Stegostoma tigrinum: one gene and its partner. The protein of the gene in region 1 purifies or fractionates together with the protein of each later gene. This does not show direct contact. Links are inferred from orthologs where the notes say so. Each region holds a gene or a part of one and is shown in the gene's direction. Other genes may lie near its edges.

What was found.
Region 2: the proteins of ctr9 (region 1) and eloa purify together in Homo sapiens (affinity purification with mass spectrometry; 4 studies listed by BioGRID and IntAct, with this or other methods). This does not show direct contact. The link is inferred for Stegostoma tigrinum from reciprocal best matches to the Homo sapiens genes CTR9 and ELOA.

Annotation. Positions count from the first base shown.
Region 1 is NC_081370.1:36,438,941-36,442,694, forward strand, and holds the start of ctr9 (RNA polymerase-associated protein CTR9 homolog), read left to right. Parts: upstream 1-919; 5' UTR 920-981; coding exon 982-1,029; intron 1,030-3,754. UniProt on the Homo sapiens protein: Component of the PAF1 complex (PAF1C) which has multiple functions during transcription by RNA polymerase II and is implicated in regulation of development and maintenance of embryonic stem cell pluripotency.
Region 2 is NC_081377.1:20,889,819-20,893,572, reverse strand, and holds the start of eloa (elongin-A), read left to right. Parts: upstream 1-979; 5' UTR 980-997; coding exon 998-1,072; intron 1,073-3,754. UniProt on the Homo sapiens protein: SIII, also known as elongin, is a general transcription elongation factor that increases the RNA polymerase II transcription elongation past template-encoded arresting sites.

The DNA of each region.
Region 1 (3,754 bases):
CAGTCCAAAGATGTGCAAGCTAGGTGGATTGGCCATAATGTCAGTTAAAGGGAAATGGGTCTGGGTGGGATGCTCTGAGTTGGTATGGACTTGTTGGGCCAAAGGAGCTATTTCCATACTGTTTGGATTCTATGATGATGAAATGTCATTCTGTTACCTGTTTTGCTAATGACACTGCCTGAGCCTCCAATTTGAGAGACTGAGACAGCGACGTCTACCACTTTCTTCGGCAGTTCACTCCACATAACACCCAATGTGTGAAGAAGTTGCCCCTCAGGACCCTTTTAAACCTTTCTCTTTTTACCTTACAGTTATGCCCTCTAGTTTTGAAGTCCCCCATTCTAGAGTAAAGACCTTTGCTAGTCACCTGATCTATACCACTCATTATTTTATAAACCTCTACAAGGTCACCCTTCAATTTCTAATGCTCTGGTCAGACCAGTTCCAGCCTCTCTTTATAAGTGATACCCTCCTGTCCCAGTAGTGTCCTTGTAAATCTTTTCTGCACCTGCTCCAATTTGATGATATCCTTCCTGCGACAGGGTGACCAGAATTGTACACAGTACTTGAAAAGTGGCCTCACCAACGTCCTGTACAACCATAACATGACATCCCAACTCCTACACTCATTGGTCTGATAGTGAAGGAAAGCATTCTCAAGGGGCTGAATGGTCTCATCTTGTTTATAAAATTTATAGGTCACAAGCAGGAAAGTAGAGCTGAGACCAAGATGTGACGTTACTGAAGTTTAGAGGAAGTTCAGGGTGCTGTAATTGTCAACTTCAACTTCTACTGAGTGCAAACAATTATTTTTATCTTACGTACGGTTTTCTCTTTCACACACCTACAAGGCACAACCTCCCACTAGAACTCTCTCACGTGATGTCAACCCCGCCCGACCGTTACTCCACCCACCAACACAGCGGTTTCCGGTCCCCGCGCCCTGCCCCGGAAGCAGACTCTGGAGCCAGGCAGGCCGCGATGTTGTCGCGCGGGTCCATCGAGATCCCGCTCCGGGACACGGACGAGGTGAGAGGTCGGCAGCGGACGGCCAGGGGCTCCGGAGCCCGGGAGGGGGAAGGAAATTACCGCGGGGCCGGGCCAAGCTCGGGAGTGGGGCACTGTCTTACCGTCTGCCGGCCGAGGCTTTTCCCCGAGGCCTCGCCTGCTGTGGCCGTGGGGACTGTGAGAGGTGTCGGGGTCTCTGGTGGAAGAGGAGCGGTGAGGGATCCGGGGACCTGGCATTAGTTGTGTTCTCAGTTAGCATCAGTAAGAACAATTTATAACATTGTCGGTGTCAAATTGTTTGACTAATCTCGGTTGCGGGATCTTGCTGTGCGTATGAGGAGCAGGCGAGTCGATGTTACGAGGCTGGACCCTTCAACAGGACTGGGATTGCCCCATTTCTGAAGAAGGATCCCGACCTGAAATGTCGACTTTCCTGCTCCTCTGCTGCTGCCCGACCTGCTGTGTTTATCCAGCTCCCCACCGTATTGACTCTGTCTCCAGTATCTGCAGTTCTTGCTATCTCCTTGCAGTGCGTCCTTTGGTTGAGGGATCTTCACTGTGTACTAGTTTGCTATTGGATCTTGCTGTGCGTTACTTGGCAGTGGGATCTTTGACTGCCTACCGAGTCCCTGACACGTTTCCTAATAATAAATTCTTAGTAATAACTGTTCATTGCTGTAAGAGCTTTGGGATGTCCTCCGGTTCTGAAAGATAATTAAGGGTTTCAGCCTGAAACGTTGGCTTTTCTGCAACTCGGATGCCGCCTGACCCGCTGAGCTTTTCTTGCCTCCTGCCTGTAGACTCTGGCTTCCGGCACCTGTAGTCCTTATTGTCTCCACATCAAGACAACGTGTTTCTCTTGTTTTTGTTGTCTCCGTGATCAACTACTTCATCTTCGTGAACTTTGGCTCATTCAAAACTGCTGTCCGTGCTCAAACCTATTACAGTGATGTCCACCCTACCAGTTTATAAGCCTTGAGACAAACTCTTAAAAATGAACTGATTTGGTGTAGAAAGCTGCAGTTGATCATTGTGTTTTCAAACTTCTGTCAACAGACCAACTTACAGCAGGTGCAGGCCACCTCACCCCTTCAGCCTGCTTTACCATTCAGCAAGATCATGGCTGACCCGATTGTATCTGAAAAGTCCACATTTGCACCCATGCCTGATAATGTTTGGCTCCCTTGTTGATTAAGATGCTATCTATCTCTGCCTTAAAAATACTCAGTTACTCCATTTTAATAGCTCACTGGGGAAGATAGTTCCAAAGATTTAAGATCTACTGAGAGAAAAAGGTATTTTCATCTCCATCTTAAATGGAAGATCTTTTATTTATCACCCTTAGTTCTAGTATCTCCTTCAGGAAAGAACATATTTTCAGTATTTATCCTGTCAAGTGCTTTCAGGATTTTATGTCTCAATGCAATCACCTGTTTTTCTTCTAAACTTCATTGGATACTGGGTCAACCCGTCTTAACCTTTCTTCATTAGATAACTAATACCTGGGATGGGATTTAAGTGAGCATTCTCTGAACTGCTTCTAATATGTTTATATCCCTTCTTTAGTAAGGAAATCACAACTAAACAGTAGTCTGATATGGCCCCTCCAATGGTCTGTACAACTGTAGCAAACATTCCTACTTTTATATTCCCTAATCACTTATTATTCCAATATAGTAACTTTGTGATTTATGTCCCAAGATATTCCATTCCCTCTGTGCTTCGGGATTTTACAACCTTTTTCAATTTAAGTAATATGCTGCCTTTCTGTTCTTCCTGACAAAGTAGAAAGGTCTGCATTTTTAAAATTCTATACTCCATCTGCCAAAGTTTTGTCCATTCACTTAGCCTGTTTGTATTCCTTAGCAGATCCATTATGTCCTGTTCAAAACTTACTTTCCTACTTCATGTCATAGATAAAGTTAGCAACCATACATTTGACTCCTTCATCCAAGACATTTATATAAATTGTGAGTGGTTGATTCATGTGATATTACATTTTTGTGTCTTGCAAACCTACAGTGACCTATTTATGCTAACTTTGTTTCCTGTTAGGTAACCAATTCTCTATCCTATTATGCTATTCCTACAGCACGAGCTGTTATGTTGCTTAGTAACCTTTAATGTGACATCTTGTTCAGTGCCTTTTGATATGCAAGTATATTCATGAGTTTCACTTTACTCACATTGCAGTTTTCTGAGAAAGTAACAAGCAAGAAGTTAAGTAGGATTTCCATGATTTATTCAAACTTTCAGTACAGTCAGGCTAATATGCCTCAACTTCCTACACTATATTCCCTTATATACAAAAATGTACCAACCACTGTCTGAATAGACTCAATAATAGAGTACCCACAGCTCTGTGATTTAGAAATTCCAAAAGATTCACAACCCTCTGAGCAGTATTCCTTCTAATTTTCTTCCTAGCTGCATAGGCACCTGAGGTCCATGCGTGGCAGTGACTCCCAGAAGCAGAAGTCAGTGACACCAACCCCAAAATGTAGATTTCCCAGCAAAAGAAAAGAAAACTTGGCGGCCAAACAATCTCATCTTTCAATTGACAGTTGGTTTCTCAGCCTCATCAGTGAGTTGTTTGATCTATAACAGGTCACAGATCTCTAATAGAAAGAATATTATTTTATCTGACAATGCTTAGGTTTCTAAACAAAATTGTAGAGAAAAATACTGTGGATAGAAATCTGCAATAAAAACCAAAAATGCTGGTAGCATCCAACAGCATCTTTGG
Region 2 (3,754 bases), on another chromosome or scaffold:
GGCACCATGGTCAGCATGGACCAGTTTGAGCCAAAGGGCCTGTTTCCATGCTGTATTACTCTGTGACTCCAAGACTAAATGATTACCAGGAAGGCAGGCGAAATGCTTAAAGGATGTCCTCAAATTATCCCTGAAAAACTGTGACATCCCCACTGATACTTGGGAATCTCTCTCCCATAATCACACGAAGAGAAGAAACACCCATGAAGGTGTCATTCTGTTTGAATTTCCTTTGAACAGAGGATACAGCATGCAGAAATTTCAACATACCAAACAGCCTATCCTCAAATACCACCTGCCTATCCGTGGCAGGCTGTATGGACCTAGCAGCAAACTGTTTAGTGGCCTCAAGATCCCCAGCTTCATAGTGGAAGACAGTCATCCTCAGTCTCCAGGGACTGCCTAAGGGGAGATGCAGAGTCACAACAGTAATCTAATTCTTGTTCTTCTTAAAATCAAACTGTTTAACAACAACTTACTACATGGAGAGGTTTTTGTTAGTTATTAATAAAAAAAATTATAGTAATAATTTCTATATAGGAATAAATCTAGCTTTCATGTATCATTAATATGTTTAATCAAATGTACTTATTTCTATTATTATCAGCTGCAACAACAACTTGTATCTATACAGCACCTTTAAAAATGTCACAGGCGGATTTAAAGTAAAATTGGACATCCTACCGAATTTTCTATAATTCCACACGATATTAGGGCATGTCGTCAGAGGTCAGAAATCACACGACACTAGGTTACAGTCCAACAGGTTTATTTGAAATGGGAATTAGCAATTTAATACTTTCGTGTACATGGATATTTTTGGATTGGCCGATGGTAAACTCAATGATAAACACAAAGTGGAAGTTGCTGAGCCACACGTCAAATTAAGATGGAGGTTGTGAATAAGGTCTATCAACTACAACGGGCAGCTATTCAATTCCAGGTTGAATGTGTGGAAGCACTTCCGGGTGGTTGCTGGGCCAGAGACGGTGGGATCATGGCTGCTGACGGGTTGCAGGAGCAGGTTTTAAAGCTGCAGACTCGCTTGTCAGAGACTCAGGAACCGAAGAAGGTAAAGAATCGCCAGTTACAGGATTTCTAAACTATCTCAGAGATTCACGGTGGAGGCACAACTCGAGAAACAGAGTAACGAATCTTACCACGAAGACATTTGACTAAACACCTGGAAAGCCAATGCTTGACCCATTGAATAACACACAGTGCGAGCGTTGGGGAATCCGGGGTCAGGCCATTGCCTGGATGTTTATCTTTTATCTGAGGTGTTAATCAACTTGTTTTAATAAATTTATGTCTTTAATTTCTATCCGTAGAAAGCAAAAATACGCCCGTGTCTTCACTCTGTTGTGAGTGAAAGTGATGACATTGCATTCTTTAGAAGTCCCGATTTATCTGAATTAAATAGAACTGCTCAGTACATTTAAGAGAACAGAAATGTTTTGCTGCCACGCTGACTTTAAATGTAATACTTGTAATTTTTTTATTTTACAAACCATCAGGAACACTTTTTCGTGAGGTTAATTCAAAGTTATTTTTAAATATTGGTAATGAATAATTAAGTGATGGGCAATGGATAGAGTAAATGTATGAAATGGCGTTAGCAGATAATTTTGATATCCCTCTGCAATTAGTGATCTCAAGAATGTAAGTTATGTATAAGGGAAGTAGTGCGGACAAGTAGTACTTACTTCTGGTGTGGAATTTTCTCTTTTAAGAATGTTGATTGCTTAGTTGAATTCTGATGATTTTTTAAAAAAAAATTTGAATTATTGGATGTTATATCGGTTTTCCAGTTTGTTCGGTGTTTGGTGTTGGGTGCTGAGCAGCAGGCTCTCTGGCCTTGCCTCTCATGTAAATATGAGGTTCATTGAAAAATCTGCTGATGTCGTAACTTGTACCACTTGTATTCAGTTGTCACCTCTTGGCTTGCTAACCAGCTTCTGGTTAAGCAATACCTTAATTTTCAAAATTTCATCGTTGTTTTCAAATCCTTCAGTAGCCGAGACTCTCCCTTTGATACAATGTAATCCAGCTCCACAATCCTCTGGGAAATTTCACGTTTCTTTAATTCATGCCTCTTGAGCCATGCTTTTAGCTGCAAGACATTTAACTTGGGAATTCCTTTCCTAAAACCCTCTGATTTTAATCCATCTGTCTTTGTTTAAGATGCCTTTAAACCAGAGTTCATTGACCAAACATTTGACATTTGTCCCAATTTTTTTTGGTGTAGCTTGGTGTCCTTTTTTTTAAAACACCAAAATACCTCGAAAGTGCCTTAATGTTTTGTTATGTTAAAGGTTCTATATAAATGCAAATTGGCTTTGTAAAGGGCAATTATTTCCAGCTTTCTCTAATCAAAGGACAATGTGATGTTATAACAACAGCTTGCCACAGTTGGATCTCTCTAAGATGTGGCAGAATGGGAAGCTTCTGTATAAAGGTAAAAGTTTTAACTCTTAAAATCTGTGCTGTTGCAACTGGATTTCAATTTGCCTTTATTTTGGAGTTTCTGGTTGGTTCTCTGCTTATTTCTGTGGTTTCTGTTTGTCAGAAATTGCAGATTAGACCCGCCACCCCTTTGAAGTTGATTTCTTTGATTCAAGTCTGGCCTATCTAGATGTAGTACGCTTATAGCTGTATGTTCTAATTTACAACCAGATTGCATCCTGATGCAGATTGGCGTTAGAAACCATACAATGCTACAATATGTTGTAAATAGGGGATAAAAATCGATTTAATCCTAAACTAAATTTAATCTGCCATTGAAAGGGTAATGTTTTAATCGACTGTATGGATGCTTCTGCTCAGTCCTAGTCCGAATCCTCACTCCTCAGCAGGACAGCTGGCAATGTGGGAGCCAAAGTGTATTGTAACAATTTCAAATATGTCTGCATCTATGCTTAAAATAATATAGCCATTTTGGGGATGTACCAGTAGTCCCTAATGGACATTGAATCATTACAGTTTCAACAAGAAAATTCAATGGTCACTTAAGTGGTTCTATGTGCCCTGGGGGTAATCTTGTAATTTCAATATATCTCTGATTTGTGAGGTCATTTTGATTACTATAGCAGACCCTTTGGTCGATCTCGTCCATGCTAACCAGATATCCTAAATAAATCCAGTCCCATTTACCGGCATTTGGCCCAAGCCCGCTAAACCTTTTCTATTCATATACCTATCTAGATGCCTTTTTGAGAGTTTTGCAAAGCTAGTATTGGTAGTCGTCCTGTAGTTGTAGTGATAAAATAGTGGTGGACTTCCATTCAGCTGTTAAACTGCTAAAGAAGACTTATTAGGCTGCTTCAAAAAACATTTAATATTCTTACATTTCTGTGCGACTGGAATTGCAAATGGGCTGGCCTAGTCAAGGGCAGTAGAATTATCTCTTTCAAAGAATATCAATGATCAGTTAGATATTTTATGGTGATCTGACCACTTTGAATTTTAATACAGTATGTTGTTTCACTGATTTCAGACTTTTAAAATTGAATTATTTGTGAACTTGCATTGTAAGGATTAATAATCCAGTGTTATAAACATTACACCAGGTAACCTATGATGAATATTGTAGGTTTTACTTCCAAACTTAGTGTGTAGCCTTGGCTCAGCTAGAATGGAGACTAAATGTTTTCCACGAGAGTGGGCAGTTATTTAATTTGGGACTGATGAACATCGTAACCAGATCCTGGAGTAGAAGAAATGGGTGTATTTGTAAATTCCTTGTAACATGAAA